Linked DNA regions of Lepisosteus oculatus. The protein of the gene in region 1 interacts with the protein of each later gene in a pairwise test. Links are inferred from orthologs where the notes say so. Each region holds a gene or a part of one and is shown in the gene's direction. Other genes may lie near its edges.

Evidence for each region. The genes of interacting proteins can lie anywhere in the genome.
Region 2: the proteins of gfap (region 1) and tubgcp4 interact in a two-hybrid assay, tested with the Homo sapiens proteins (2 studies listed by BioGRID and IntAct). The two-hybrid records come from large-scale screens. The link is inferred for Lepisosteus oculatus from reciprocal best matches to the Homo sapiens genes GFAP and TUBGCP4.
Region 3: the proteins of gfap (region 1) and PIH1 domain-containing protein 2 interact in binary tests that used the Homo sapiens proteins (3 or more experiments, as listed by UniProt). The two-hybrid records come from large-scale screens. The link is inferred for Lepisosteus oculatus from reciprocal best matches to the Homo sapiens genes GFAP and PIH1D2.

What each region holds. Positions count from the first base shown.
Region 1 is NC_090723.1:1,939,335-1,950,548, forward strand, and holds the start of gfap (glial fibrillary acidic protein), read left to right. Parts: upstream 1-6,889; 5' UTR 6,890-7,001; coding exon 7,002-7,507; intron 7,508-11,214.
Region 2 is NC_090700.1:49,615,039-49,626,029, forward strand, and holds the start of tubgcp4 (gamma-tubulin complex component 4), read left to right. Parts: upstream 1-5,789; 5' UTR 5,790-5,930; coding exon 5,931-6,008; intron 6,009-6,920; coding exon 6,921-7,049; intron 7,050-8,070; coding exon 8,071-8,193; intron 8,194-8,495; coding exon 8,496-8,549; intron 8,550-8,869; coding exon 8,870-8,926; intron 8,927-9,478; coding exon 9,479-9,558; intron 9,559-9,894; coding exon 9,895-10,096; intron 10,097-10,954; coding exon 10,955-10,991. Other genes in the region: cdkn2aip (CDKN2A-interacting protein), read right to left, coding at 1,878-2,518, 4,044-4,165, 4,457-4,704. UniProt on the Homo sapiens protein: Component of the gamma-tubulin ring complex (gTuRC) which mediates microtubule nucleation.
Region 3 is NC_090718.1:15,287,192-15,298,409, forward strand, and holds the start of PIH1 domain-containing protein 2, read left to right. Parts: upstream 1-6,016; 5' UTR 6,017-6,104; intron 6,105-8,188; 5' UTR 8,189-8,195; coding exon 8,196-8,378; intron 8,379-9,197; coding exon 9,198-9,321; intron 9,322-9,611; exon of another isoform or gene 9,612-9,682; intron 9,683-10,107; coding exon 10,108-10,341; intron 10,342-11,218. Other genes in the region: uncharacterized protein NKAPD1, read right to left, coding at 1,047-1,464, 1,902-1,955, 2,283-2,429, 3,400-3,503, 4,529-4,605, 4,807-4,816.

The sequences.
Region 1 (11,214 bases):
CATGCTGCCCCTGAGCACATGGCATGTGTAGAGGAATCCTACTGTTTTTTACCGGTCTGTTCCAATTCAAGTGGTTCTCACCACCGTGCGTGGTTTAAAACTCTTAGACTGCAAATGTGGGACCAGGGGGGTTGCAGAAGCCATCCTGTCCTCTAGGTGGCACCCTCTTGACACAAGCAAGTCCTTAACGTTACAGCCATAGACACAACAAAGCATGTTTGAGACTCTCAGCATGGTGCACAGCCCCTTGCTTCTTGGAATAAAGGTGTTGAGCAAACCAAGGCCACTGTAGCACACAATCAACTTTGTTAACAGGATGTGCCAAAGGATAAGCTGTGTCATAGTCAGTATCGGGCAAATATTAAGCCTTTGTGGTGTCAGTTCTGCAAAACAGCCCAGCAATTAGTGCTGACTGCAGGCTTACTGGACATTCACAAAACCCTCCAGCGGAGAGCAGAAAAGCTTCATTGTGACTGCAGTTTGGACTAGGATCCAATGACTCACTGGGTGTCTGTTCTGATTAGCAACCGTCAATGATTCAGCTTTTTGGATATAACAGCAGTTGCACCCTAGAGTCAGGTCTATTCTCTTTTCTCTCTCCCACACTCTAGACTAACAGGAAAGACACTGTCTTCATTTCTCGATGGTTACACTAGTCATCACATAAGTTTTCAGGTACAGCTGTGACTTGAATGAATCCGTTTCCAGTATGACAGAATATGGGGAAAAGTTGAAGGGGTCTATAAAGGCCCTAGGATATGGTGTAGTCTCTATCCCCTGTAGCTATCCCCATTGTGTGTTGTAAATAGAAAAGAGCTCATCGGTAAGGATTGATTAGGGCCAGTTGTAAAATTGTCCTGAGTTAATTCAAGCACAGATGATTGTTAACAGAAGTTCTGTGCTTGGTATACAGTATATAAGGGTGTGGTAGATTGGAAAGAGTTCTCTAAGACCAGGCATTTGTGCTGAAAATTGGATGCTTTTCAAAAGCAGCAATAACAGAATGTTTACTGTATATATGAGACTATTGTTCTGCAGGACAAAGATAGGAAGGGAAAGCTGAAGTTGAGCCTCCAAAAGAGGGGGCAGATTTTTTTGCAGCTCAAGCACCTCCTTTGTGTACTACTGTAGCACAGACTCCCCAACGTGCTAGATGACAAGCCGTGAAGATCCCATTTGTGGAAATAACCAGTTCCCTTAGGTGTTGCACCAAGCAGAGACTGGAATGTCTCTACGATCTTGAAAAGATAATGACAAAATGGCTTCTTAATCTGATAGTTAGCTTTCAGTATATGACACATGATGCATAACATAACATAACATGAGATGTTATTCCACCTGTTTTGGCTGATGATAGCTAATTATGAACATGTGTGACAGTTCACAGGGATATGAGTGAGTGTACAACTGTGATCTTGCATGTCTAAAATTGTTTTCCCTTCTCATAGGGAGAAATATCTCAAATCATCAACTGTACTTGTAACTTTCTTGAAAAATATAACTCACATAAGACCTTCAACTCGTTCACATTGCATCCAATAGCTGCTTATCCAGTTCGGGGTCATGGTGGCCTGAAGCCTATCCCAGCAGGCACAGGTACAAGGCAGGGCACCCTGGGCAGGACACCAGTCCATCACAGGGCAGACAGACTCAAAGACACTCACACCAGGGCCAGTTTTCACAGAAGCCATTTAGCCTACCAGGAGGTCTTTGGACTGGGGGAGGAAACCCACACAAACACAGGAAGAACATACAAATTCCAAGCAGGTAACACCCCAAGAATTGAACCCAGGGCCCCAGCACTGCAAGGTAGCAATGCTAACCACTGTGCCACTGTGCCACCCATATACCCTATCTTATCTTGGCCATAAAATAATAGGTAAAACATCACTATACAGTGGTTTGAGTGCTCATTGGAATAGACCCTTGTTGCACAGAATACAAGCTGACACCTTGAAAGGAATTGCTCTGATCTACAAAGCCACATATAACTCTCTGCATTTTCTTCTTCAGCAGCAATGCTGGAAAGTTGAGAATCTAGCTTTAAGTTCACAGCAGTTCAGAAAAGAAGATTCTTTTATTTAAGTGCCAGGCAGGCTGTCTGAAGTTAATGCTGAAGACTATTAGAGCCTTGGGCCTGTCTTGTTGATTGTTGTCATCCAAGGGATGGCTCAATGCAAATGGAATCTTTACACTAGTCTGTGCTTTTTCTTTTGCTGTGTTCTGGCTCTTGTTGGATAAGGCCATGAATCAGCCATTAGACTTAGCCAGCTCTAGATTTGGGGCAAGAGGAGGCTTCTTAGACTCCCTTCAAAACAGAAGCAAATAAAAACATTTAATTGCCCCTGATTAGAGATGTATGACTACTCACTTTCTCCCAAGGCACGTCTCCAGGACTCTCCCATCCAAATGTTTTTTCCACCTTGAGGAATTACCAGAGTGACTAGATCTGAGGCAACGACTGTAGCACCCTGAAAAATCCTTGGTTTGTAGGATTTGTGTGAAAATAATAATGAGACTTCATCGTATGTTGTGTGTGTGGAGGCAGGGCTTTAAAAAACAAATTAGTGGAGTGTTAAAGAAGTCCCTCTTATTTAACTTCAATTAACAAGAGGATTAATTTCAGTTTGTTTGCTGTCTTTGTCCTCTCCTTCTTTAAAAAAAACAGAACACAACAAAACAAAGAAATACAATAAAAAGTAGCGTCTCTTGGTCTCTGTACAGAGTAGCACTAGTGGGCTGTTTGGTCAGACTGACAAAGAGCTTTCTCATTGGTCACTGAGTGGGGGGCTTGCCAGTTTGTCACAAAGCCAGGCGCGAACTGGATGTTAACAACTGGTTGATTCAAAGCAAGCGGGGCTCTGCTTTTCATAAAAAAAACGTAGGTGTGAGGAACCAACTTTACAACCATGTTGTAGTCAACGATGTTTGGATCTACTGGAAGAAACTGAGCCATCTTCTTTTATTCCCAGGTGTCCTAACATTCAAGCCCACGGAGATCGGTTTTCTGCTCTTATACAGCTAGTGCATGAAGACAAGTCCCATTAGTTCATTGTAGACCCTGATCAACTCTTTCTATTAAATGACACCACGTCGTTACTGATACTAGGAAGAGCACTTCTACAGGTGCCGTATTAGCCTTTTTAAAAGGAGAATGTTCTGCACAATTACACCCATATCTGATCCATCTTTTAAAATGTTTTCTCAGGGGTAAGATTCGGGTAACCATGCCTGTGACACTGTGTGCTGACTTTGATCCCTGACCTCCCTGCTGACCTTGAGTGACAGGCTGTGGAAAATATCCGGTTAAATCAGCCAGCAATCTATAAACCTACTGGAAGCAATTAGACAAGAACAGCTCCATGATCAAGAAATTTCATGAAACATGAAAATTCACTGCCATGAATCTAAGTCCAGTTCAAAGCAGGAATTGTGCAGACAGTAATATTAGTTTTATTATCAGTATATATTAGAGCAGGGAGCTATGTCTGGATGGCTCCACAGCTCAAATGTGTATTTTATTTATTTTTACTGTAAGTGTGAAATCCTGAATTCACACATCAATAACATAGTTTTCCGCACTGTTTATCATGGCAAATAGATACATAATTGTTAACAGCAAAAGAATTGGCAAATGTATAACATTCCCATGTTTCCTGAAAGCCATTCTTTCTTGGATAAGTGTCTTAAACTGAACAGGCTATGAGGGACAGGGTTTGAGGAGAAGCATAAATTGGAAGGTTGTCTCCATTTTTTTATCCCACTCTTTTATGGGAACTTTCTCATTACAAAAAGGAGGCCTAGTAGTCTATGGAAGAGAAAGCAGTCATGCAGTTCAATTTGATAGGGGCCTGAGGATTAATAACCCCCATTAAGACAGTGTGGGCCCCCCTGAACTCCATGCCTTCACAGGGACAGACTACATCGCTCACGCACAGCAAGATGAACAATACCTCTTTCTCCCTTCACCCATGCCTCTTCTTTCTTCCTATGCAAGGGGAAGGAAAAGCTCGTTCCCCTGTAATGAGAGCTGTGGCATTATTAAAAAACCCTTATAAAAGCTTTTCCAGGAGGTCTGTCCTTGGAGTGTTTACAGACAGGGGGCTGGAGGCTCGGTTCAGGGCTGTTCCGGCAGCTCATGGCTGGTCAGACGTTCCCAGAGGAGCTGCTAGGGTGAGCTGAAGGAGAAAAGGAGAGGAGGAGGGTGGGTTACAGGAAGAGACATAAAGGGATGGCCAAGATGGAGCTGTTCAAAGTCACGTTGAATTGGAAAAGGGAAATTTAACATCATTCATACACACCTGTGTTCGGGGAGAGATCCATGGTCCACTGGTTTTGATTCAAATTAGTCTCTTCTATTCATCTATTAATTGACTCAATTAACGAGTTAATTGTTCTAAATATCCACTTTTCCGATTTAGGTACCGATATGTTCTAGAAACCTGATGGGACTGTAAGTCTTTAAAACCTGGAAAAACACTGTCCTTGATCTATGATAACTTTTTTATGATTAAAGAATCAGTTTAAGAAAGCCACTGAATGCTAGGCTTCATTTCTGCACTGAAAAGATCTTATATGTATTGTTCAGATAATTAGCTTTGGTTTCTGTGAGTAAGATTATATTTTATTATAAAAGATTATATTTTATAATTTTATTATAAAATTTTAAATTTTAAAATAAATCATCCAAAAATGCTGTCTCAGTCCCACAATCCCCAGAGAAAAACACTTTTTCGAAAAGGGCCCCAGGTTTCTATGACAACTGCTGCTAATCAATTCGAAACGGACCCCATATTTCTCTAAGACTCGAAAGTCACAGAGTCATTAAATGGATCTCCCATCTTACCCCAGTTCTTAACCCCGCCCTCCACAGCCCAGAGCTTTCTGCAAAGGATAAATCTGTCGGAGTGAATGCTGGAATTTCAGGCCCAATTCACACGAGAGGGAGGAGGTACAAAAGAGATCATTTAATGTCTTCTTACCATCCTGAATAAGTTGACCTGTAGAGTAAAACCACCCAACCAGGATATGAAGTACTACTTCTTTGTCCTTCTACTACTTGCCCAATCTATCTATCTTGTTATAGTCTCGTAAAGAAACATTTATTAAAAATTCAGCAGCTGCATCAGAATCATAAACATGTTTTTGTTCAGATGTTGTGAGACTTAATGCTCTTCAGCAGGGTCTGTAAACCGGAGGTAGGACATGGGCTGGTTTGTGATGAAGGAATTAGAATATGTGTCTCAGATCTTCAATATTGTTGCTTTTTGAATCCTGTTTGTAATGTTGATAGGTTGGCATATTGAAATTGGACAGCAAGCATAACTTTTCTTTTTCTTTTTGGTTGGAAATACAAGTTCTGCCTTTCATAAGCAATTCTTTTAAATTAATAAATAAGATATTGTAATAAATAATATTATAGTAATAGTGACACACCTGAAGAAGGCTCCACGGCCGAAACGTTGTGTTCTGTTTCTTCTTTTTTTCAGCATGGAATAAACCTATTACTTGTTCCCTTATAGTAATAATATATATTTTACAACAGGGAAGCTAATTAACTTGACAGCTGCTTTGATGTTGCTGACTTAAAAATGTACAAATCGCAGCTTTCAGAAGAACAAGAGAAAAGTAAGATTCAGGGCAGGTTTGAAAGTCTTGCGATGACCGCATTGTTCTTGTGCTCTCTCTTTCAGTGAGCACCATGGTTGAACGTCAACACAGACCCAGCGGCTCACAGCCCCTGAGCCTAGAATGGTTTTTGTAGCCTCAAGTGATCTGCGAATACAAGGGTTGCGCTCAATGGGATGGTAACCCATTGCTGTGTGACACCCGAGCAATCATTCAAGTCATTGTAAGCAGCAAGGTTGACTGGAGACAACACAATTGGTAGAAAACATTTTCAGGAGCCCCTCAACACTGTTTGTGTGCTTGGCTGATCCAGTGATAACTCCAAAGCCCAGACCATTTTATAGTGACCAGAGGTCTTTGTGTTATTTAGAGGGCCAATATGTCATATGCCAATATGACCAAGAAAGGAAGGACTCAGTTTTTACTGTCTTACAGTGCTGACAGATATATGGAGTTTTCTAACGAGTGGAAGAGAAGTTTACTGTACGCACTCATGCTCACACCAGTGCAAAGCTACTGGCAGCTGAAGTGCACAAGAGCAACACAACACTAGTGATGTCGTCGCACATCTCAGATAATTGAAAACACTGACATTTATTTAGATTGTGTCAGCTGAGGGGAAGATGAGAGGTGCTTAAAAGGTGAAAGCAATGACAGTCGAATACTGTAGTTTGATAGTCGTAATGGACACACAGAATGTCCTTTATGCTTGGTTAGTAGGCAATGTTAATTCTTAAATTAATCCTAAAGGATGTACAGTAGCTATAGCCATACTGTACTTAAAGTGAAATTGATTTTTATCTTACTTTTCTTGGCTTTGGCCTCATGCAGACAAAGGTAGATAAGTTCTATGACTAGGAAGGACATTGTAAAAGAGTGCCTACACCTTTGCCTACACCTTTTTTTTTTAAATCTTCATAAAATAAATCCTTGCAAAGTGTTTTGTAGATGGCAGTGCTTTACAAAACTGCGGCGAGAGTCCAGTGAGTGTTATTTCCAGTAAATCCCTTGGACGCAGTGTGCAGCCACACTGATTAAAACCGTTTTGAAAACCACAGTCCTGCAGCAGAGTTGTTCCCTACAGTGCACAGGAGTACTTCAGGCGCTCATTATCTTTTTTTTTCCCTCCTGAATAACATTCCAAAACTCCAGCTTGCAGAAAGCGAGAGAAAGCCAGGAGAGTTTCAAGTTCAGTAGACGAGCACAATGGCTGGCAAGTCCTAGCTGTGGTGCTCCCCCTCCCCCTGCCTCTCTCCCCCTCCTGTCTCAAGCCCTCCTGCTCAGGGTGGGGGGGCGGAGGACAGTGTCTATAAAAGCCGGAGAGGGACAGAGACCATTTCATTTGCTGACTTGTTCCATTTCCACCGAACACCATGAGCACGAACATGGAGACCCAAAGGGTGGTGGCGTCTTCTTACAGGAAGAGGTTTGGGGCGTCGGGGAGCGGTGGAAGGACATCCCTGTCCTCTGGCCGATTCGCCGTCCACAGCTCTCCCCGGCTCTCGCACTCCAATGTCACGGCGCGCCGCAGTGGAGTCGTCCTGGGCTCCTTCACGCCCGACAAGCTGGACTTCTCCCTGGACACCGTGCTCAAAGCCCAGTACAAGGAGACGCGCACCAACGAGAAGGTGGAGATGATGGAGCTCAACGACCGCTTCGCCAGCTACATCGAGAAGGTGCGCTTCCTGGAGCAGCAGAACAAGGTGCTGGTGGCCGAGCTGAACCAGCTGAGGGGCAAGGAGCCCACCCGCCTGGGCGACATCTACCAGGACGAGCTGCGCGAGCTGCGCAAGCAGGTGGACCAGCTGAGCACCACCCGCGCCAGGCTGGAGATCGAGAGGGACAACCTGGCTGAGGACCTGGCCCACCTGCAGCAGAAGTAAGCTGGAGTTTCCCCTATCAGCATTCCCAAAGCCCCGAGCGTAGTCCTTTCAGATTCCGGGGAGAGAATAACAGTACGGCGGCTCCAAGGATCGCTTTGGTGCCACAAGCAAAAGCCTAAATCTGGAGTCCAGCTACTACAAGAGATAGAATAACTGTCTCCAGTTCAGGCAGGATAATTCATTAGCCATGTCTCAAAGGGCCTTATAAATTGGCCCACAAGTATAGATCAAAAGTAGATCTATAAGTGTGTGCCAGGAATTGAAAATATACTTTAAGACATGATTTAAAAACGTACAGTATAGTCAATATCCCTTAACAATGAGCTGGTATATTGCAATGTGCAATAGAGTGTAGCCTAGGTTAAGAACAATGGGGAACTCGTAAACTATAGAATAAAGTCACCAAGGAGAACCTGTTGGATGGGTTGGAGAGCAATACTCTTTAAATCTTTTATAATGTAGTGACAGAGTTATAAAATATGTCCCAAATTTAAAATGCAAAGAATCCAGTAGAGGAGTTATGCCCCATTCAGTGCTGCTGATTTTCCTACGTGTCGTCGTGTCTGAGAGTATGCTTAGTGTCAGGCAAAACTGATGTCTCCTCTTGCTAGAGCCTGTACACGCAAAATAATTAGGAGTTTTTCAGAAAGTTTTTTTGTGCTCTCCAGGACAGGAATATTTATAACTTAAATGTTTATAAATTATTTTGCTTGTGTTCTTCAAATAAAATTCTTCTAAATCTATGCACAAAATAAAACAGCATCCTATATAGTATTATCATATGCAGTATAGATTTGAGCTGGTTTTACTAGGACATTCAGAACAGAAAGGAATTCAGAGTACAGTTTTGGAAATTGCCCTGGAAAGATGATGTCTGCTGACTAAATCTTATCCTTACAAGCCAGAGTGAACACCGAGCGTGAGAGTGTGTTTGTGTTGTGAGTGCCAGTGCCTGCATTTGTAGATGCAAAATTAGTGTGACACAGCAGGGCAGAAGAACTAGGGTGGAATTAAAAACTTTTTCAGTTTTACATCACAGATGTGGTGCTGCTGGAAATGTTTTGTGTTCAACTGACATTCAAAGCAGTTGGAATGTAGGATATTTTGATTCCACTGATTTTGGTATTCTTCATACTGAAGGCTGGTGTCCTCAAACTATTGAAAAAGGGTTTTATTGTCATCAATTAAACTGTGCTAAACTAGAGATTTCTGGTAAGATGGGGTTTGCAGATAGATATCATATTTGTGACGGTTATACAGATCTTAAAACCTTCAAACCACTGTTAGCTTATTCAGTGGTATGGATTTGCTGTCTAAAGGTGAAGTGAACTAAGGTTACCTAAACAGGGCTAGAGTCATAAATCATAGTCATTTGCGACAGTTTTCTCAAGAAAAAATAAAATTAACAACATTACCTGTGACTGTGCACCTATCAGGGATCTGAGGAGATGGAATCAGTCATGCCGCTTTTATTATATTATAATAACCTGTAAAGTTATAAATTTATCCACTTGGATCACTAAGCTGCATGAAGCCTGAAATGTACGGATTTATAGCCTTGAGTTTACTAGCAAATAAACCTGATGGCCCATTACTGTAGCTGCTTGAATTTCGCAATATGAAGTCGTTTGGAGAACAGTCGAGTGAAGGAGCCCCCTACATTTTATTATGTACATAGGCTTTTCACTGGGCCCCACAAAGAGCCTGACTGTGAATTAAATTCCTCTTTTCAGCCTTGCTTGAAGTGACAGCTGCACGAACTCTTGCATTCATGCCAGTACTTAAAGAAAAGCTTTGCTCTTGATGAGTAATAGCTGTGATGGGTTCATGCATGCTTTCCCACCATTATTAGTGAAATCCATCTCATCCTCATGTCACACAATCAGACCTGTTTAATGCACTATTATTCTTTTCCTTGTATTTATTTTTTCCCTTTGAAGTGATTAATTAATCTATATTAATTGCTCCTTTTTTACTCCCATAATGGATTGGTAGTCAGCTTGGTTCAGTTCTATAACCTGCTTTACCAATATAGAGGAGATGAAGGTAAGTCGTGTCTGTAAATGGCACTGAGAGTCCCACAGTGCAAACAGCAATGCTAAGATAAACATTTGACAAATGCACATGAAAAATAAAAGTAGTTAGCCTCTTTTTGCCAGATAAGCAAACATTTGACTGTTGTCATCCAAAGAATTCCTTTCCTTGAGGTTATTTGCACAAGGTGAGAAAAGCTCTTCTGCCATTTGTCAGTTAAACAACAGTACAGTATAGACACTATGAAGCATCTCCAGATCCCTTTCCAGCTCAACCTCCTTCCTCCAAAACACCATGGAAAACAATGGAAAACTGAGACCACAGTTCATCCCACACCTCTGCCTAATTTATGTCTGTGCCCAAAGAATGGTGCATTCTGTCAGAGACTATGCCACAAATAACATCTCTGACAATTTTATTCTTTGGGAATTGCCAACAGTGGGCTGGGTGGCTGCTGTCCCCACAGACAAGTGTGACAAAGGGGCCTTTATTGTCTGGCCTGCTGGCTGTCAGAGGGAGCATGGGCCATGCACAGCTGCAAAAAGTTCAGTTTAATCTCTTAATCTTTGTCAGCGCTGGTGATGTTTGTGGTCCTTGTACACAACAACACAGACTCTTTTTTGCCCTGGAAATAAAATAAAGGTGGATTTTAGAGCGGATGTAGAAGTCAGCAGATTGTAGCTTTCTGTTGATCCACGTTTCTCCTAAAAGGATTATCAATATTGTGTATCTGCCTAATTAAAGCATCTAATTATTTTTCTGTGTTCAAGCAGTTCTACATGTGTAGAAATGCTGACTTATGGTAAAAGAAAATTCATTTGAATGCACAAAAGAGTTATGATGTTGAGTCTCCTCCTGGGATATATTAAAAAAGTATCCCAGATTGTTCTGTGTTTTTAATTTCTTTTAGTTTTTTCAAGGGCTGCTATCTTCTTTGGTGATAGTTTGTTTTCAGATCTGGTTGCATTGTTGTTCGTCAAACAACCTGCTTGCTTCTCATAAAAACAAACACATTTCTTAGAGCTTTCTGGGTAACCCAGACATTACTTTACGTCTTTGTGCTCTGAAGCTCACTTCCTAAGAACATTTAAAAAACCATCTAAATGACACTGTGTTATCATATGGTGCTACACCTGTTTGAGTAACAAGTCTGTCACTAAGCTCCAGATTCAGACACCTCTGAGCGCCCAACGTGCTCAGCCCAGACAAGTGCCACAGCAAGCACTCTGAAAGCTCCAGCTCTTTGCAGAGCCAAGCTTGAACATTCTTGTGAGCCCTGCGCTGTTGAGACAAAACTCCTTCATCTTGCACTATGGGACCCCTAACGGCTAAAGGTTTTCTTTTCATTGTTGCTATTCTGACACGTTTTCAAACATAGCCATTGCCTTGTCTAGAACTATTACACTGTAAACCACGATCACTCCAACACATCACCTGGGATTTGGTTCTGTGTTCTGTTGCTCTGTATGCTTGAGGCTGCTGTCTAACATCTCTTGTGGCCTCTTAGTACAGGAGAAGTGTGTGCAACTTTCAGTCCCCATGTGAGTGCTGTGAGACTGACAGCATCCTCCAGGGCATGCTGTTGTGCTGAAAGCTTTAAAGATTTAAAAAGTCTACACTTATCCTTACTAAAGTCATACATTTCACAGGATGTCAGCAATTTTCTACA
Region 2 (10,991 bases), on another chromosome or scaffold:
ATACAACATCTGGGATTGATCCTGTTAGTAACTCAACAGCTACAAAGACTGTCATCCTACACAATCCTACATTTGTAAGTCTTCACCCCATACATTGCTTAATGTCATTTGTAGTTGTCTTTGTCTGCACTACTTATTTCTTAATGAATGGTTCACATTCCTGTGGGTATATTGTGCAATTACAGACTCATTTTCAATAACACTGCAGTGCATGTACTGTACTGTATGTAGATATTATGTACCACTAATTATTGCCCCAAATATCTGTTAATAGCTAAGTGTTTAGTCAACTGTATAAACAAATATTTTTTAGCAATGTAAGATAAATTAGAGAATCAAGCATTATGATCCAGCTTGCAATTAAAAATTAACTATTTAGGGCATGTTTAGACAACAGAACACAGAAGTCTCTCACTATTTGAAAATTTACAAAGGAAGTTTTCATCAGAGGCTGGCAGCTTCTTCTATTGCACACTGCCACATTCTTGTCAATAGACAAACTTCTAAGCTAAGCCCTTAGAAACCCATAACATGTTTCAGAGTAGACCCAAAAATATCATAAAGAACTTTCCATTAGTAGTCAATGTACATATGATAAAAGATAAAATTATTTGGAGAATAAAACCCTTAAAAAACAATTGCAAAAACATCTGTACTTGGGGGAACAAAATCCAGCAAACAAAATCCCAAATCAGTCCAAGACAAATAGTGAGACAACTGACCATGTTTCCTTTAAGCAATAGTATGCCATGTATGCCATGAAAGGAAACGGCTTAGATTTCCTCATCACCAAACACTCCCTGCAGTGTGCCTACATACCTCTGTCTGAACTGGCTAGATGTTTTGACTTTGTTTTTTTGTAAAAACCTAATTCAGCCCACATATTTCCAGCTGGAGATTTGTAATTACAGTATTAAACTCTTAAACTGTTTTTATTAAAATAACATCAAAAACGGACTTAAATTTGGAACAGATCATTTTATACAGTGATCAGAACTACAGCTAGATATTACACATTTGGTGAACATCTCTGAAAGCTCTGTTTGGACACTTTAAAAATCATGTCTTCTTAACAGCTGAATATAATTATAAAATGTTTCCTGGTACTGATCATTTTTGAAGCAGTGAAGACTTTACCATATTAATCAGAAATTTAACATAAATTGTATTTTTTTCTCCTGTGCATGAAAATCAAACCTTCTTTTACATAGCTCAGTCTCAATTACTTACTTTTCATTCTTACGTTCACTCAATAATATCTTCATATATATTTCTTGCTTCATTCTGAAGTGCTTTAAGCTTCACTTCATGCAAATCATTTTGTCTAAAATATCTTTTAATAAATCAAATGTATATGATTTTCCATATTTAACAGAAATTGTGTTTTGAACAGAAGTATAAACTATATTAAGAACTTTCCAACAAGCTGTTCAACACTGATCCCCGATAACAGAAGAAGTACTCACTTGAACCTGTGGAACATGGGACAGTTTTCATAGTTTCATCACCTAACAAACCTGATGGTTCAAACAGAACCGCATGAACCTGTATGAAGGCTATCCAGCCTTGATGCAGATCCAATGTTTAAAATATTTACATCAACTAAACTTAATATTTTTTGCGCCCAATTTAATTTTAAGCATTGCCTTGCCTCAGCACCAAATTTGTATTATAACTCTGTAATGCCATCTTTTGGTTGTGCTGTCACTCTTATCTAAAGCCAATGGTATTTTTTGTGCCTGCAGGGCTTTCTACAATAAAAGGCAACATCTACTGCGTCCCAGAAGGATGTAGAAGCACCATAGGAAAAGCCTAAAAAAAAAAGAAAATTATGACAATTTTAATTTAAAGTGTTCTTGAGTCGATTGCTTGTCTTATTAAAGGGCTGCAGCTTGCTGTTCTGGCTGGAAGGGATAGCTGAGTGCTGGTGGGAAACCAGAACTCCTCAGCTGATCGTCTTGTAGGACCAAGTCTTCCACATCCCCACCCTGGTACTTCCGCCGGCAGATCTTCACCGTGACCTTGCGGCCCTGGAAGATCTTCAGGGCCTCCTTGGCTGCCATGGCTCTGGCACTGTCCTCCCCACGTCCGTAGCCCGTGCCTAAGTACACAGTCTGGCAGCGCAGCTCACACACCTGCCCCTCCTTCTGGATGCGGCTACTTGGCAGGTCTGGGATGTCTTTCAAGGGCACAAACGCACAGGTCAGGCTGGCCTTAGAAGACTCCACACAGGCCCGCAGGATCTCAAAGTGGTTCAGGTTGGGCCCAAATCCCCCGGCTGACACCAATTTCCACGCCACTGCCTTGTAGAGACGGTTGAAGAAGGGCTGGTGGGCACTGGGGGCGTGTGGAGGAGGTCCTAGCTTGGGGGGCCGCATCGCTGCTTGTGAGTTGGCCCTGTTTCCTGGATGGGTCTGCACGTTACTCCCCAGACATCCTGGACCCCGGACTCCACTTCTGCTTTCTTCCCTGCCACTACCAGCCTTCAGCTTCTTCTGAGAAACATCACACTCCCCTTCTGCCAAACAGAAAATCCCCCAAAATTCCAGTAAGGTTTATTATTCTTTCTTGTGCCTCTCATTTTATTGCTAATGAAACATTTAACTATGTTGAGCTGGGGGGGGGGGGGGGGGGGGGGGGATTCCTACCATCTTAAATGGCAACAATGCATGTACGAAAAGAATCTTTAGCAAAGGACTACTTCCCATATCTCACCCGCAGTGACAGGTTATTTCAAAATGATAGCTGGTACCTTCTGATCTTTTTTTCTGAGGCAAACTTAAAAAGTTTAAAGCTTTTTGATATATTCTTTCCCTTTGAGCTTTCATCAACTACTGTTACACCAGAGGATAGAAGGGGCAGATTTCATCTCCTGACTATGAAAGGCTGTAACTGTGAGTGAGATAATGACAGGGAAAAAGAGAAACTTGCTATACTGATGGATGTAGGATTTTCTACAGCATCAATTAACAGAAAAAGGCAAAAATATTTCAGGCACGTTTGAAAAGTTACTTTGTAGTGTATATATAAGTTATTAATTTCATATAAAAAGAAAACATGATTTGTGAATTATGACCCTCACAAAATAAAATACAACAAGCACATCTGCCATGGGCAGCAACATTGCAGAGAGTATCCAATGTCAGTCCCCTGGTTTCTTTTCCAAGGTATCATGCTAAATATTTTATTTTTAGTAAAAACACAATTCTATTAACAGACCTTCTATTAAAATCTTGTGCACACCCAATGTCCTATGTGCATCACAGACAAAAATGCTGACAAACATGTAAACTGGTCCCTTGTGGAGATGCAAAATGCAAATGCTTAAGATTTTGAACCTTTCTAACATTTAGACTTAAATCTGCAAGGTAAGTGATCCTACTACATAAACAATTCAGAGATGAACTCTACTCTGCCAAAAGACTGGGACTTCTGCCACAGAATAGCACACTGTCTAGATTTGAAGTAAGATTATATTGTTCCAGTAACATGATCAGTGCACTGTGTCCTGTTACATAGATCTAAAGGCAAAAACTGTGTATTTTCAGCTATATGACCATTTACACCGGAGTGGCAGATCCTTGAGAAAGGACTTATTCTAAAGGAGTCAAAATAGCTGAGAGGGTAATCTGTAGAAGAACATGGTAAAGTACACCATCTCCAATAGGGATAAAATGCTTTTTACAAAGCTCAATCTTCCATGGAACAAAACTAATGTTATATGTACATAGCCAATTCCTTTGAAATGCACTCCTAAATAACATCGTCCTGATCTGCATATTCATAGTGATTGGCAGTGAAGCTATTACCTAAAATGCTCACTTTTCCTGGCTGTCACATGAAGAATTACACAAAATAGCACTCAGTTATTTTTTGTGTTACACCTGTGTCAAACTGCATTCTGTTTCCAATGTGGAAAGTACTCTCCAAAGGTACTGGATCTAATCATTACACACCATAGTGCAACCACTTTTGAGCCAAGTCCAATGTGAAGTGAACAGGGCTGTAATACATCACAGTTTTACACACTGCCCATACTTCACCTGTGGAGGCTGTTCTCTTTCCTTTGCCCATTAGCTCATCTCTTGTCTTGCGAACTGGAGCCTCATGCACGACCACCCCTTCTGCCATCTCTGTTATCTTGTCCATGACAGGTTGGGGATACCTGCAAGCAGACAAGAAGCCCTTTCTCTCCAGCCTAGGTCTGAAGAATGCACAGAGTACCCCACTGGAAAGCAACAGTTTCAATTTTGCAGTAGACTACAAGCTCTCTGCTTTAAGAATCTATCTTGCCTTCTTAAATAGTCTTTGAGAGCTTCTAAGAGATCACTACTATTCATTCTTTGCAGCTTTCAGACCATGTTAATTCAGCAAGATTACAAAAAAGTGTGGAGCTGGATGGGTTTATGTCACACGTTTGGATTAAACCCCCACCCAGTGCTTCTTTGTGACTCACCGACAGCCGAGAAAGACGTGGTTCGCCCAGACCATGGAGAGAGACAGCAGCTGGTCCAAGCTGCGGCTGGGAACTCCTGGAGTGATGCCGGTGAAAACCTCCATGTTCCGGAGGATGAACTCTCGCCTGGCACGCCACTGTTTGTCCGTCTCGCAGTGCCCCCGCAGGCTCTCCACCCACTGCTTCAAGTGAGCGTTCTGACGGAGAAACTCCGACACGATGTCGTCTCCACTCCTCCCCTCCGCCATCTCTGCAACCCCAGACAACTCACTTTTAAAAACCGTGCATCACTCCAATGACCTTTCCGTGCGAGAAACCACCACCTCTCGGCCACTCTGCGTGGTTTAAGACGAGTGTTAAATTAAATCTGAGCCGTCAAAAACCGGTTAAGCGCATTTTAAGACGTGTGTGGCGTATCCCAATTACAAACTGTGCTGAGATACGTTTTTACATTCGAACGTTGTATCGAGCCTACAGAACCAAATGAAAATATATTATCATCAATGTGAATTCATCTGAGAACAGTATAGTAAGTGCCCAGCTTCTGTTCGTTCTGTTTTGATCGTTTATTAAATAGTTGCAATCTCGGTACAATGAGATCTATGTTCTGTTAAGACGTATTAAAACAGAGCTCGTCTGAATCTAATAATCATTTTGTTGTCATCATACGTTAAACTATCGAATACATATAAACCACCTTTAATGGCTACTTTTTCGAAGAGAATGTTGGAAAAACTCATAATGTACTTAAGATTTTGTTTATATGTTTTAGTTAAGTGGTTTAACACAGACTATCTCAATAAAGATAAATACATTCCTAGCAGACCTCGTTTACCGGAATGTAGGAATTTAATGGTTAAAACAAGAAGAAAACTAAGTTCCCTACACCGATTACGTAGGCTTTAAGTTAAAACTGACAAAATACACTGATTTTAAAAACCTTAAACTGTTATGAACAAAGGTAAACAAACACAGGAGAGAATTTTAGAAAATGCAGGGCCTACTTAATTCTAGTAGCAAGGCTCAAGTTGCTCACACCCCTTACCAACAAAGGCTTGCTCTGAGCTCTACGTTAGATCTGGAAGAGAGAAAGTGTGTTCAGATGTCGACAAAAAAAAAAACCACAGGCAATTACAAGAAAAATAACCTAACATCGTATTTACTACGAGAACATCCAGCAACTCACCCGTTTCCCTCTGCCAGTAGTACTACATGTCCCAAGACGCAACTACAACAAATAAGAACTACAACTCCCACAACCACACAAGTCACGCTTCATCTAGGCCTACCAGTTTTAACTGGGCTGCGCAAAAAACTATACTTCCCATACTGCACTGGCGTGTTGTCGGCAAACGTCATCGAATTGCGGCGGTATGTTTGGCGGCTGCGTTAAAGAAAATACAGTACTGTGTTGAAGTCTTGGCACAATATTCCGCCTTATATCTTAAATTTCTTTTTGGAAATAAAACTTGCAATGATCCATGAACTGCTGCTTGCTCTAAGTGGGTACCCTGGTACCATATTTACGTGGAATAAACGAACCGGTTTACAGGTGGGATTGAAAAAATATTTTTCTATTGCTTTTTCTAATGCCGAAGATAGATATAATGAATATATTTCCAGCTGTTATTTTAATTTATGTTTTAAAACGCTAAGACTGAAACATGTAAAAAGCATCTGTAGGCTGTGAGTCTTTCTATTAGGCAATACAGAATGTAATTTGTATTGATCCAGTGTATTTTTACAGAGACATACCTATCATTAAAATGTGGTTTGCATTCATTGCTTTAACACTAGATCCAATTTTAGAAAACATTATCATTGCCCTCTTGTTATAGAATGTTTTCTTCGACATTATTAACTGCATTTATTTGCCATTGTAATTCATTACGTACACTCTGTCTCTGTTCGGTTTAAAAGAGCATTGTCCCATTCAACGACAGGCAAAAATAAATGTGTCCCAGTGGTCCAATGATCTATGACTGTGCTGCAGAGAGTCGGTGCTCAAGAGGAGATGTAAAACTGAGGTCCGGATTGCTTAGTCACTAAAGATCTTATGGCATTGTTCAAAAGAGTAGGGGATTACCCCCTGTATTTCTCCCTGAAATTCACCTTTAATCCATCTATTATAATCATGGCGGTGCTGGTCATATCAATTAGATTAGCCACTTGCACTCAACAGTGGGTAGAAAATAACGAACTGATTCACACAAGACCATAGCTTTCCAGTGTTACCTGTATACCAAGAAACCATTAGGTCCGGCAGAAGTTATCAATTAAAAAAGCAGCTCTGGTTTACCACGGACAAGGCATTAGAACTGCTGTGCTGAGAAAAATTTACCACTCTGGAGTCTGTTTTTGATTTTGCCGTTACTTTATAGCACACATTTACTTGCACCCACCTTACCCATATCATCTATTATTGTGTATGTATTACTCTGAGACCTTTTTGTTTTTCCCTCAGGTGTCCCAGGACCTGCCCTTCCTCCATCCCAGTGAGAGCAGTGTCCTGAACAGAGTGTGCAAACTGGGCTCTGACTACATCCGCTTCACTGAGTTCATTGAGCAGCACACGGGCCACGTGCACCAGCAGGTGAGGCACTGCCACCACAGAGACAGGGGCCAGAGATGCGCGCCGGGGGCTGAGGACTTTGGTCTGAGAATGTCTAGTGAGTTTTCACTCCTAAAGAACACGTAGCAAACAAAACAGCAAAAAAGGAAAAACTATTTTCTGGGTTGCAATATTAAAATAAATATGAAAAATATTAGCTATTAAAAGGAGCTGTATCCTATGCTGCTTGAAGTCAAAGGTGCAGAAAAGATTTGGGTTTGTTTTTAGAGTTCAGGCATTTTTTTACGGGAATTCAGATATTGTACTTCAAAACAAAATGTTTTCTGTGGAAGGCTGAATATTTTAAATTAACCTATGTTATGTAATAAATTATGAAAACTAATTCAGACCCTCTACTGCTATTTACCAGCTACTTGCTGTAATTCCAGTGACTTTAGAGAGGCTGATTTATCCTTTATTAAACATTGTAATTTAGCCTGAAAGCAACCTACAGGTTACCTGTTTCCCCTGCTTTTGTAGTGTTCAATGTCCCAGGATGCAATTGTAACAAGGAAGAACTACAATTCCCACAACTGTGTATAAAACACTTTGCTGCACCTGTATCTTTGCTGCTCAAAAACCTATATGCATTATATCAAAGCAATGTAATTATCCTTTCTTTCACTTCAAGTAAAATTGATAATGCTTAACCCCATTATTTTATACATCAGGTTGGGACCGCAGATAAAATACATTTTCATAGACCTTCCTCCTTTTGCCAGGATAAGTAATGCTCAAAATAATTATTAGCGGGATAAGAATAGGGTTTTAACAACTCTTTGTCAGGTTGCGTTGTGTATCTAATTAGCCTTTTCCTCCCACTTTTTAGGCATTTTTCGTTATTAGGAAATTTCCGTCGCTCGTCTAGTGAACGATAATATGACAATATTAAATGTTTTTGTGGAATCTTAGTCTGGTCTGAAAGCAAGCTCATGACAGTGTGAGGGGAACATTGTAGATCTTGCATGTTTACTGGAACCCTGACTGTTCACTGCGCACACAGGAGCACCATGCTTCCCAGCCAAACCAGTCTGGACTCCATGGAATCTACCTGCGAGCATTCTGCACCGGGCTGGACTCCATGTTACAGCCCTACCGCCAGGCCTTGCTGGACCTAGAGCAAGAGGTAGGAGGGGCGGCTGAGCCGATCCTTTCTCTGAACTTTGATAGTTACCAGTTCACACTATACCACACGCAGAATTCTTCTTTCTGCCTCTGTACAGTTGAGTCCAAAGCTTCCCTTCCTGACTACTTATAATACCTTGACTCCCTTCTACCTGGCACTTTCTGTGCTAAGTCTAAAAACTGATATTCTCCCGATTCATGAGACAAAAAAAGCATTACATTGATAAATACAGAATTTATATTAAGTATACCAGTGTACTTCTGATTTTTCATTCATGTTAAAATGGTTTTGCTTTTTTTCAGTTCCTGGGGGATCCCCATCTCACTATCTCCCATGTCAACTACAGGCTGGACCAGGTAATTCAGAGCACTCAGACTTGAAGAGCGCAAGGGTTTTATTATTTATTCAGTAACTACAATAGTTTTTATTACACAAAGTAGTACTTTATAATGTATCGTCAGTGTTCTGATTCCACATAAAATAAATGGTATCAATTTTTTCTTCACTTTTTCAAATTCACCAGGTATAGTCAATGTAGTGTGAAAGAAGCACCAGAAATCATTCTGAATGTAAAAATTTAAGCACAATCACTTATACTGTGGGTGTGATCAGGGCTGAGCTCAGACATGTGGAAACAGCTGTTTTCATTCATTGTTTCTGTGTTTCTGCTCTCTAGTTTCAGCTGCTTTTCCCATCTGTTATGGTAGTGGTGGAGTCCATTAAGTCCCAGAAGGTACGTTTTGCACTGCACCTGGCTGTGCATGAGCTCTGACTCGAAAGCAATTGACAGGTCTGCAGGAAGAGAAATGGAATAAATATTAATGCTCTGTCATAGGCTGTGGAGTTTGTCTCCACAGGATGAAGTATATAAGGATTAATACATTCCTGTAGGTGAAGAGGTCATGCTGAATGTTGCATTTCTAAGTAAAAATATTGATAAATTGTGTTGTTTTAGTGCTAGTTCTAAGACTTGCATCGTTAATCAGTACTGGCGAACTCATTGGTGCATATTGATGGTGTATCAGATGAATAGATATGCCGGTTAAACAATTCTGATGTTATTTTGCATTAGAATGGTATGTGTTAATATTATATAACCTTAAAGGGAGTACAGTCATCTTCTGTTCATCCATAAAACACCTTGGATCAGCAATGCAAAAAAGAAATTGACCAGTGGTGCTGATTCTGTGCACTCCTGTACATTTTTTCTGAGTCTGAAAGGCCATATGGGCTAAACAGTATATGGTACAGAAAACAGTTTGGCTATGTCCTCTCCGCTGAGCAGATCCATGGCTGTCAGATCCTGGAGACGGTATACAAGCACAGCTGTGGAGGGCTCCCCCCTGTCCGCACGGCCTTGGAGAAGTGAGTGGTGTCCCCCTCTTGGCTCAAGACTGATATCTCTGTTTTAAATGTTTTTGTGCTGTGGCTCTTCAAGCCTTTTCTCTGAAGATCACAGTTCAGCTGTACAAGGAGTATTTTTCCTAACACTGGTTGCTAGGAAAAGTTTAGGTCATATCGATGACCTTTAAACCAGCCATACTGTATGTCCTGGTTTGGTGGCTCCCTTTGAAGCATTCACTGTTCTGCACTGCTTTATCTAGCTGTGTTACAGTTTGACCTGTTGGCTGTGTACTTGCTTTCCACCTTGCGTGCTGGTGTTCAGAAGAAGGGCGTTCTCAGTCTGGGTCTGTCACGCAGGATCCTGGCAGTCTGCCACGGGGTCATGTACAAACAGCTGGCAGCCTGGATGCTGCATGGGTTGCTGCTGGACCAGAGCGAGGAGTTCTTTGTGAAGCAGGGCCCCAGCGCAGGGGGGGCGACGCCTGCCCAGGAGGAGGAGGAGGAAGACCTGGGGATTGGGGGGCTGAGCGGGAAGCAGCTGCGAGAGCTTCAGGACTTGGTGAGTGGAGCAAACAGGTGTGGGCCTTAAGGCAGACAGGACGCAGAGTCAGGGATATATAGAAGAATCCCCTTGATTTGCAAATTGGGTATGAGGAAAGAGGAAAAGAAAGGAAGTTATCATTCTGTGACTATAGAAGGATTCAAGCAGTGAGGGAAGTGAGAGACAAAGGGTGAATGCTTCAGAATACTTGGACTCCTTGAGTGAGATTGCTTTAAAGGGGAATTTCGCAGACTGGTTGTTAAAGCTCAGTAGCAAAATAAATTCATTGACAGTGTAGAAAAAAATTACAAATTTCAAATTAAGCGAACAGTCTTGAACTTTGTGAATGTACTGTAACTTGCCATTTTGTCATAAACCCCAACCTGGCCATGGGCGAGAGTTTGTGAGAATTGTGCCGTGATGCGGCCCTTCCTGCTCACTGGTTAATGTAATGACGAATGTAATGTGATGTATGAGCAGATAAGTACAGGTTGTGCAGCAGACATTTCACTGCAGAAATGTTCCAACGTGATCTGCAAGTAGAGTTAACAAGTAAGTAGTAACAAGTAAGCAAAACGATCTCAAAGTTGAGAGCATAATTTCTGTTGGATTAAAAGAGATGTATTCACAAGCCTGCTTCTTTACAAACTTCCTCACTGGAAGTTTTGTTGCCCCGGTCTGAATCGCAGAATATGGCACTGTGCATACCTGGAAATTGAATCTATTTTGTGATGTAAATTTGAGGTTTTATACGTTTCTTTTTACATTTTTCTTTTACTGTGGTTTAAAATGCACTCGGTGGTTTTGGGAATGATGGACCTCTTGTGGGCACACCCCACACCACAGCACTACTGCCTTCCTTTCTGGTCTCTGCAGCGGCTGATTGAGGAGGAGAACATGCTGGCTCCATCCC
Region 3 (11,218 bases), on another chromosome or scaffold:
GGAAAAGGACTCTCTGGACTCCGGAATGGCAACAGGTGAGGTGGGGGTGGGGAGGGATCCCCGAGAACAGCTGGAACATGATGGTCTTGTCACCTGAGCGAACAGCATGAGAGCACATCGTGTCAAACACTTTCACAAAGTGGTGACAGCAATACAAAACACACAAAAATCAAAGCCACCTGTAGACCTATGCCAACACAAAGTTAAAGCACTTGTCTTGAGCCCTGTCAGGATGCATTATGGGAAGACTGCAATGAAATGATGCTGCCTGCTGGGAAGCAGTGGGGGACCCCTGGGAATTGGCTCCACTTTACATTTACATTTATACATGCCAACTGACATGTCCACAAGCTCCAAGAGGACACTACAGAAATTCACCATGTTTAGTGGCAAACCCATTATTGCCCACACAGGTGGGATGTGAAAGCTGGGGCACACGTACACAGCACCCCCCCAAGTGAAGTGAGAGAGGTGACACATGCTCCTGCTTGGGTCCGCGCATCGGCAGCCGTTCCAACATCTCGACCGCCAGAAAAACATTTCTCTCACCGAAAACAGTAGGGGGCTTTGGAAATAACAACACAACAACAGTAATTATAAAGACGTGCCGATAGCAAGGCTGTACAAAAACACTGTCATTATTGTGAGAGGCAGCTGCACCAGCGAGCCACATGCCAGCTGAACCAGGGCCCAGAACCAGGACACGGACAAGGACAAGGCCTCAGACAGAGAACACCTGGGCTGAAACAAAAAATCCCTGAATGGCTTCTGCCTAGTTGAATGGACACTGTGCCAAACAGCACAAGCACTGGCCATCACACTGAGTTTACACCTGTCCTTTCTTCCCACACCTTTTAAAAACTCCAGAGCTGAAAAGTTTCACAAAAACAAGGTCTCTGTGGTGCTTGCACCCGGCACTTTGTTCTTCCTGATTGTGCGGCAGGGACAGCAGAGCCCCTCCGTTTACGGAGCTCTTCCAAGGGGGAGAGAGCGAGAGGAGATCTGGACTGAAAGAAAGGGGCTGCGTGTCGGAGGCCCTCCGCTGCTCAGTCCTCAGAGCTGTCCTCCGACTTCTCCTCGTCCGCCACCTTCCAATTCCTCCTCCTCCTCTTCCTGCGCAGCTCCTCCTCGTGCTCGCTCTCCGCCCGGGCCTCGTGGGGTCTCTTCCTGCGGCCGCGGGGGGTCCCTCCCGTCTCCTCGTCCTCCGAGCTGCTGCTGCTGCTGCTGTGCGAGTCCTTCCTGCCGCCCGGGCCCTTCTCCTTCCTCCTCTTCCTCCGCTTCTCCTTGCTGCTCTTCTTCCTGCGCTTGCCCGGCTCCTCCTCCTTCTTCCTCTTTTTGGCCTTCTTCTTCGTCTTCTTCTTCAGCGTCTTCTTGGAGCGCTTGCGTCGGCCCGACTCGGGGCTCGCCGACCTGGGCGCCTTCTCTCGGCGGTGGATGTTCTCGCCATCGCTGCACTGCTGGTCACTGGGAGAGACAGGGGTGACAAAGTCAGTGTCTCTCAATTGACAGGCCGATCTTGACCGACTGGGGAGCAGATGTATCCTTGGAGGGCCAGCTGAAGTCTTCCTGCAGATACTGGATTGCGATAATATTACAGGAGTGGGTCACACCCTCTCAACTCCCCTGCCATTTCACTTTAGCCCCAGCTATACTGTAAAACGCTCCAAGAATTATCCACTGCTTTTACATTCACGAGACATACGTGTATGTGCCATGACATATAGTCTATATAATACTTGTCCTTTGTTAAAATAAAAGGCACAGACACTTGTTGCTGCAAAAAAGGACCATAAAACCAGATCCCACTAAGAGTATGCAGTGTAACAGACTGGGTACATTTTACAGGTAAACCCTGAAGGGGATGAGTATGCTGCACAGTACAGAATTGTGGGGTTTCTTACCTGTCTGTCTCAAACTCTTCGGGGTAGAGCTCCTTAAAGCCACTGTGGCCCCACCTGGAACAGACAGCAGCGTGTTGTTCAACATCACTGAGCACAGCGCTAGGAAACAGGCAATTGCACAAACCTGTATGTACAGTAGATGTACCTATAAGGGACACAGCTGGATTCCATGAACACTAGGAACACTAGATCAGACTAGGAACTAGTCAGAGTGGTAACAGTTACCCCAGATAATATGAGGAATGCCATTTACATTGCAAGCTGCTGCAGCTACTGTAGTAAGAAAATGTTTGTGCATCAGGAGAATCAGCCTTCTCAATGCGCCTGCGCTGACATGTCAGTGTCAGCTGTTTTAACGCGGATGACTGGCCAGACACCAACCTGTCGGGGTCGCCGGCCTCGAACTCGTACAGCTTCTTGGTCCAGTGGCGGGCCTCGCGGACGTCTCCCTCGGAGCTCTGCGCCGTTGCCGCCCCCCCGTCCCCGGGGAGCTCCTCCTCGTCGAAGCCGTCACAGCGCATGCGGCCCCTGACACACCAAACAGCACAAAATTACCGTTCCTCCTCGCAGCTCTGCACGGCCAGTTTCAAAGGATCGGGAACCGTGCAGGGGTCTCAAAACAGGAACTGGAACAGAAAAGCTGGAACCAGACCCAGATCCTGTGTGAGTGCGCCCTAAGCAGGAATGCAGAGTCAGTGATTTTGAACAGCAGACAGCGACACAACCTGGCCTGTGCTGATAGCATCCTGCAGGACCTCCTGTCCAGGGCACTGGACACTTTTAGAAATCAATCAGTCCAAGTTCTCAGAAAAAGCTCCCCATGCATTGTTCAAATCTTCATGAAGGTAAATTATTACTGATCCCCATTTGTAGAATCAATAGGCTAAAAGCCTCTCTCATTGGTTAGTGTTTTAAAAAACTCATTCATTTAGCATCTCTTTAAGCCCAGTAATGTAGTCTTGGACAGAACCCTTGTTAAACAGAATGCTAAATAGGATATTAAATAGAATTTGCCTTTTTAAGTTGTTTTGTGTCTTGAATATAAGGAAGCAATTCTATATTTTCTATGCAGGTTGAAGGCAGGTCTCTGGTAGCTCACTGTATTGTACATAGCTGTATATAGCCATGAAGACCATGTGCTGTTTGCTTGTGTAGCTATAACAACATAAATATTTGTCTTATTAAGGTCCCCCCTTTTACTCTATTACCAAGCTGTGTTGGAGAAGCTAAGAGCACACATGCTGGTAATGCTCGGTATTCCCTTAAAATCAGGGTTGTTATTATTATTGATATTAGAATTTGCTATGTTTTCAGGACCTGATTTTTGGATTTTAATTTGACAGCTCCTTTTTTATACACTCCCCCCCATTTATAGTACAATACTTTAGGTTTCCTGTAACTTATATAATACTGCAGGGTTGTCTTTCTAGGAAAGATTAAGAACACTATTGAACACCACAGCCTGCTGTACAGAGCTCTTATTTAGGAGGATGCAAACCTGCTCAGGTCATGATCCAGCTTTCGTCGATGCCATCTGGCATGATCACCCAGCGTCTGGCGCTCCTTCTCCCTCATCTTCCACATCTCCGACTCCTCCTGGATCTGCCCCACCAGGAAAGAAGGAGACAAACGCAGGTGTGGTTACAGCTCGGCAAATCCCGATCACCAGCACCACAGCCTGACAGGATCTGGCAGGATCTTATAATCATAAGAGTAATAATAATTGGAGTAATAATAATACTGGAGTAATAATAATTGCTTACAATTATTATTATAGTTATAATAATTATTATTATTATAAAAGCTTATAGCGCTTTTCTGGACACTCCACTCTTCTTTCTGTAAGTAAGAATTCCATTGTACCAGTACCGGTTACATATGGCAATAAAGTTCAAGTTCAAGTTCAAAGCGCTTTACAGGTAATGGGGATCCCCTCCACCACCAGTGTGCAGCCCCACCTGGATGATGCAACGGCAGCCATAGTGCGCCAGAACGCTCCCCACACATCAGCTCTCAGTGGGGAGGAGAGCAGAGAGTAATGTAGCCAATTCATAGAGGGGATTATTAGGAGGCCACGATTGGTAAAGGCCAATGGGAAATTTTGCCAGGACGCCGGGGTTACACCCCTACTCTTTTCAAGAAACGCCCTGGGATTTTTAATGACCACAGAGAGTCAGGACCCTGGTTTTACGTTTCATCCGAAGGACGGCGCCTGTTTACAGTATAGTGTCCCCGTCACTATACTGGGGCATTAGGACCCACATGGTCCACAGGGTGAGCGCCCCCTGCTGGCCCCACTAACACCTCTTCCAGCAGCAACCTTAGTTTTTCCCCAGGAGGTCTCCCATCCAGGTACTGACCCGGCTCACACCTGCTTAGCTTCAGTGGGGCTGCCAGTTGTGAGTTGCAGGGTGATATGGCTGCTGGCGATGAGGACGATTCTGGATTGGGGTACCGTCTGGGTGGGTTTTCTGTGGTGTTCCGGTTTCCACATTCATAAACAAATCCATGCTGTCCTGGTTAACTGACATCTCTAAAGTCGTGCGTGTGTGCATGTGTGTGTGTGCGTGCGCCCTTGATGTAGTCTGATTAGTAGCACCTGGAGTACCTGATGAACTCCTGCTTACCTTATTATGAGCATCTGTGTGACGGATGACATTTCGGAGAAGCACCTTTCCCATAGGAACACGAGACATGATCAAACCTATACAGACAAAAATGTAAATACACTTAGCCAGGGCAACTTCTTTTGCTAACATGCAAGAAGATAGAAATTTCTTAATCAAGGACCCTGGACTTTGAATTTGCACCCCAAATGTACAGTCGTTACAGTTCAGTTTCATGCCCCAGGTTTTCACAAATTAGCACTATCAAAACACAAAACATTCAGGCGTCTGCTGAGTACCTGAGCTCATACAGGTCAACCAGCCAGCAAAGGTTTTCAAGCATCATGCTGGAACAACAGACATCACACGCAAGACCTCAGAAGCTGATTATCATATGAAAATTCCAAGATTTGCTATTACATGTGCTGAACGTGAATCTGTTGGGAGAACTGACACCTAGCCTAACCAGGAATATTCTAAAGATGGTCGCAAAGAGGACTGTTGTGAGTTTATTGAAATGTCTCTACGCTGGAAAAATCTTAAAAGTCCCTTTTCAAAGCAACAACTCTTCAGCGTGGCAGAAAGGCTCAGCCCAACTGCACTGGCAGTGCTTAAGGTACCCCAAAACCCTCCTATACTCACAAACCCCCATGACTCTGGTTTTGAAGACGTTCATTTTTACTTTTACAGGAAAACACAAGTCTATAGCCCACTGGTATAATGTGGTAAACAATTTGCTTCATGAATACAGCGGTTTGATTCCCTGCTCGCTCCTGGAAAAGCACAGGGAACTGTTGACTTTATTCCCGTGTTGAGACATGCAGGCGAAAGCCTAGCTGTTCCCACTGAGAGCTCCCACACAATTAAGTAACAAAGAGACAGCAGTAGCGCACACACATTTTTCACGTGTGTGACGAGCTCCTGTAGAAGCTGTTTCAGGCTCTTTTTAGGCTCAGCAGGAGCAGTTTGGTAAAACGAAAAAGAGGGGCTCCGTTATCGCGAATTCCCAAACTTTTCATTCGTGTCTTTCTGTTTTAAATGCGGAAATTGTACCGAGTTCCATTTTCGTTTTAATACCGCCTGCCAGCTTCAGTTGACTGAAGGATGAATACCATTAAAATACCAACATAGTGCATATAAATTGATTTTGTTAATAGGCTGTTAAAATCTTACCTTTTTGTTACAGTAATTCTTTGTCCTTAAAACAAATCATGTTATTTCATCCCACTGACTTCCTCCGCTTCTCTGTTGTTTCACCGGACGTTGTTGTCATTGCTTAAACGTCCCATCCTGTTTTCCTCGCTAATAAAATATAGTGATATAAGATAGCAGTTAGGAACAATTAAACACGGTAGCACCCTGCGGTACATCGGAGGAGTAAACTGAGAATAATGTAAGCGGATACATCCATTTCGGCATTGAAAGAGACTGCATGACAGAAGAGTGTAAATCGAGGTGGGAACCAATATTTCCAGCCTGAGCTCCCACACGGATTGACGGACTGCGTTTCTATAGTTACCGAGAAGCTACAACAGAAAGGCATAGACGGGAGGCTGTGGGAAGATTTGAAAATCTCACCCAAATATCGCACACCAAGGTAGGCAGCATTTTAGAGCAGGACAAATGTGTGTTTGTATAAAAAAAAAAATACATTAATGTGATTGACTTGCGGCATTTTTATTTTCACTGTTATTTTTTTCTTTTCTGTTTTTATTAGCCTAATGATTATAGGCAATATATTATCGAAGTTAATTGGAAATCCCGAGTTATACGTCTTCATAATATGTATATATCATGAAAGGTGCTGCAAAGGAGTCACTGTCTAAGACACATTTTATATTTGCAAAGCCTCATAAAGTCGGAATATTTCCATGCCTAAATATATTTCCAGTGCAGTCCAAAGACAGTGACACGGGTATTGTTGTTTTGGCTCTGTACTGCAGCACGTTGGATTTGAAATGAAACAATGACTATGGGGTTAAAGTGCAGAATGTCAGCTTTAATTCAAAGATATTTACGTCTGTATTGGGTGAACCGTATAAGAATCACAGCCCTTTTTATACATAGCCCCCCCATTTCAAGGGACTAAAAGTAATTGGACACATTAACATCATCTTAAATAAAATTGTCATGTTTAATACTTGGTTGCAAATCCTTTGCAATTGATGACTGCCTGACGTCTGCAACACATAGACATCACCAGACGTTGGGTATCTTCCCTGGTGATGCTCTGCCAGGCCTGTAATTCAGCCATCTTCAGTTCCTGCTTGTTTCCAGGGCTTTTTGCTTTCAGTCTTGTCTTCAGGAAGTGAAATGCATGCTCAATGGGATTCAGGTCATGTGATTGACTTGGCCAGTCGAAAACATTCCACTTTTTGGCCCTGAAAAACTCCACAGTTGCTTTAGCAGTATGTTTGGGGTCATTGTCCTGCTGCAAGGTGTAGCACCATCCAATGAGTTTTGAGGCATTTGGTTGGATCTGAGCAGATAAGATGCTTCTGTACATTTCAGAATTCTTCCTGCTGCTGCCGTCTGCAGTCACATCATCAAGAAAGACAAGTGAGCCAGGTCCACTGGCAGCCACACATGTCCAATCCAGGACACTACCTCCACCATGTTCCACAGATGAGGTGGTCTGCTTTGGATCATGAGCTGTTCCCTTTTTTTTCCACATTTTCCTCTTCCCATCACTCTGGTACAGGTTAATCTTCGCCTTATCTGTCCATAAGACTTTGTCCCAGAACTCTACAGGCTTTTTTTATGTACTTTTTAGCAAACTGTTACCTTGCCTTTCTGTGGCCTTTCTTACCAGGGGTTTGCATCTTGTGGTGAACCCTCTGAGGTTATGCTGGTGTATTCTTCTCTTTATGGTAGTTTTTGACACATCTATACCTACATCCTGGAGAAGGTTCCTGCTCTGTTCAACAGTCGAAAAGGGGTTTTTCTTCACGATTGAAAGTATTCTTCTGTCATCACTACTGTGGTCTTCTCTGGTCTACCAGGTCGTTTGCTATGCTAAGCTCACCAGTGCGTTCTTGCTTCTTAATGTACCAAACAGTTGATTTTGATACACCTTCTGGCTATGTGATTGATTTATTCTGATTTTTCAGCCTCATGATTGCTGTGTTAATGACATTGACTCTTTTTTGTTCCTCATGTTGAGAGACAACAGCAACAGACTCCAGACGCAAGTGTCACACGAAGAATGAACTCCAGACCTTTTCTTAGCTCTCTTGTGCAGGAACTAACGATGCAACGACACACAGCTGGCCAAGAAACAACTGAGCAGCCAGTTGTCCAATTCCTTTTGGTCCCCTAGAATGGGAGGACTATGTATAAAAGGGGCTGTGATTCCTATATGTTACACCCAATATAGATGTAAATATTCTTCAATTAAAGCTGACATTCTGCACTTTAACCTCATAGTCATTGTTTCGTTTCAAATCCAATGTGCTGGAATACAGAGCCAAAACAACAAATATTCTGTCACTGTCCAAATACTTATGGACTGCACTGTGCTAGATTCAGGAATGACAGTGTGATATCTTGGAAGAGAACTAGATATATATTTTTTTGACTGAACATGTGCTTATTAAGTTTTCATGTGATGAAATTGTGTGTCTGCCCAGTACCAATTCCCTCTAGAAGAAGAAGGGTCACCTGTGTCCGTTTCCCCCACAGGCGCGGCATGGCGGCTCCGTGCTCCCAGCAGGCCGTGCTGCAGCAGGTCAGCCAGCTCTGGTCCCTGCTGGACGACCTGTCAGAGAGCAGCCCCGAGGGCTACCGCAGGTTCATCCAGCAGCAGCTGAAGGACGGGGCTGATTACTACAGCAGCCCTCAGGCTCACTCCTGTCTGCGCACTGAGATACTGGTACACACTCCCCCGTCTTACTCCTGTCCGCGCACTGAGATACCGGTACACACTCCCCCGTCTCACTCCTGTCCGCGCACTGAGATACCGGTACACACTCCCCCGTCTCACTCCTGTCTGCGCACTGAGATACCGGTACACACCCCCCCGTCTCACTCCTGTCTGCGCACTGAGATACCGGTACACACCCCCCCGTCTCACTCCTGTCTGCGCACTGAGATACCGGTACACACTCCCCCGTCTCACTCCTGTCTGCGCACTGAGATACTGGTACACACTCCCCCGTCTCACTCCTGTCTGCGCACTGAGATACTGGTACACACTCCCCCGTCTCACTCCTGTCTGCGCACTGAGATACCGGTACACACTCCCCCGTCTCACTCCTGTCTGCGCACTGAGATACTGGTACACTCTCCCCCTGTCTCACTCCTGTCTCTACACTGCTATACCGGTACACACTCCCCCGTCTCACTCCTGTCTGCGCACTGCAGTACTTGTACAGACTTTTTTTACACCCCAGTAGGTGGAAATCGCCTTACATAATAGGAATGCAGTTTAAACACTGTACAACCCCAGAGCTCCAATTGCAGTTTGCTGTCAGATGTACCTGGGGATCAAAGTGAGGAAGAGGTGAGAAAAGAGATGATTTAATCATCAACCACAAGGTGTAATATTGCAGAGCCATACCAATGAAGTGCGAGGGCTCGGCAAGCAGCAGCTCAAACCACATAAGCAGTATTCACGGTGGTCATTGCATTCCTAATATTCTGGTGAGTGCGTGCAGAACACCCTGTTTCAAAGCTGTGCTGTGTCCTGCAGGAGCCAGAGGAGGGCGTGCTCTATGTCAACGTGTGCAGCTGGAAGCGGGTCCCCACTCCGGAGTCTCACTCCAGCCCCGTCCCGCTGTGCGCCAGCAAGCTCGCGACTGGAGCTGAAGGCAAAGGTACCACCACTCCCCTGGTCGCGCCGCTTCGCGATTCAATTCCAGAAGGAAAAACAAACCCACCATGTTTGCAAATGAGTCAATCCTAGTTGAAAGTGCATTTGAAGAGAAACAGCCTGTGTGTTGCAGCTCAGTGGTCAGCATTGCTGCTTTACAGCGCTGGGGCCTTTGTTTCCCTTCCGGACCAGGGGTGCTGTGTGTGTGGAGTCTGTATGTTCTCCCCATGTTCACATGGGGGTTTCCTCGAGGTGCTCCAGTTTCCTCCCACAGCCCAAAAAGATACCGAGTCTACGCCAGTGGTGTAGTGGTATCATACAAGATTCCCATTCTTGCCACCCGGGTTCGATTCCCGGCTGGCGCATAAAAACGACGCTTTTGGCGGAGAGGTGGTTCTGTGGCTAAGGGTCTGCGCCTGTGGCTGGAAGGTTGCCGGTTCAAATCCCGCAGCCGGCAGAGGAATCCTACTCCGTTGGGCTCCTGAGCAAGGCCCTTCACCCCAGCTGCTCCAGGGGTGCCATACAATGGCTGACCCTGCGCTCTGACCCCCAGCTTCTCTCCCTGTCTGTGTGTCTCATGGAGAGCAAGATGGGGTATGCAAAAAGATAATTCCTAATGCAAGAAATTGTAAAGGGTTAATAGTGATAATAGTTAAAAGTGATGATGTTATTACCCTGCCTTGTGTCTGTTGCTTACTTGGGATAGGTTCTGGCCCCTCAGCACCCCTGTATTGGATAAAGTGGTTCGAAAATGGATGGATGGACCTGTGTGTTTTTTAATCCCTTAAAGAGGTGTACAGTGTGATCGATGTGGCGTTCAGTCCCGAGACGCTGCGGAGAGCAGAGGGCGACGGTGAAGAGAGGGACCAGCTGCTCCGCCTGGCCTTGTTGTACGCTGAGCAGAACCACGGGCTGCGCCTCTCACCCTGCTACACTCTCACCAGCGCCAACATCAAGGGCCCCACCCAGAGGATGAGAGACCGCCTGGCCACACCTCTCAATACCTCCGCCCACAGCGCTCCAGGTAACCCACCACTTTCCAGCAGCCCAGCTGGGTTTAGTGCTGGGTAGTCTGGCTGGAAACCACTTAAAAATATACAGACATGCATAAGCCCCACCCCAGAACAGCAACTCACATTGGTATAGGTCTTGCAGTACACAATGTATACACAGTAGAGAGCTCCAACTTAAATACATTGTTCATCACACCATACGAGGCTTTTAGAATTATCTCGAGCTAGAATGATGATCGAGGGAAAACGAGCTCATTTTAACACTCCTCCTCCGGCCACCTTAGGACAGTGGTTCACCGCCCCCCTTGGTGTACAGGCTAAAATTGTATTTAAACATTTTTTTTAAATGTTTTGATTTCAATTGTTACTTGACAGATTGAAGGTCGTATGATCCAAATTCACATTTGAACTTTGGTGTATTTAATTTAAGAGCTTGTCTCAAACATTATCAATGTGAGCTCTGATGCTGCATATTTGTCACGGGTTTTGAAATTCTCAGCTCTGTAGAAGATAAGGCACAATGCAAGTCACTTTCAACATCGAGTCTGTTGTGGTGCTTATTTCTGGTCATCGAAAGCACAGAAAATCCGGTCTTGCGTCAAAGTTAGCTGACTGAAGATGCCCGAGAGGGTAGTTGTCAGATTTTAATTCCAAAAACAGTTCTTGGGCAAGGACTGACCTTCATAGACAAAAGGATTTTTGACATTTTGTTTAGATTTAGCTGATTAGTAGCAAATTCAATGCAGCGATTTGAGAGCGAGTCCTACTTTTCTACTTATAAATTGCTGTAAAAAACATTGCCTTATAGAAAAATTTAGTACATATTTAGGTGTACATAAAAAGCTCTCGTGCCCTTCTTTAGCTCCTCAGATGTCCCCTTGGGGCCCT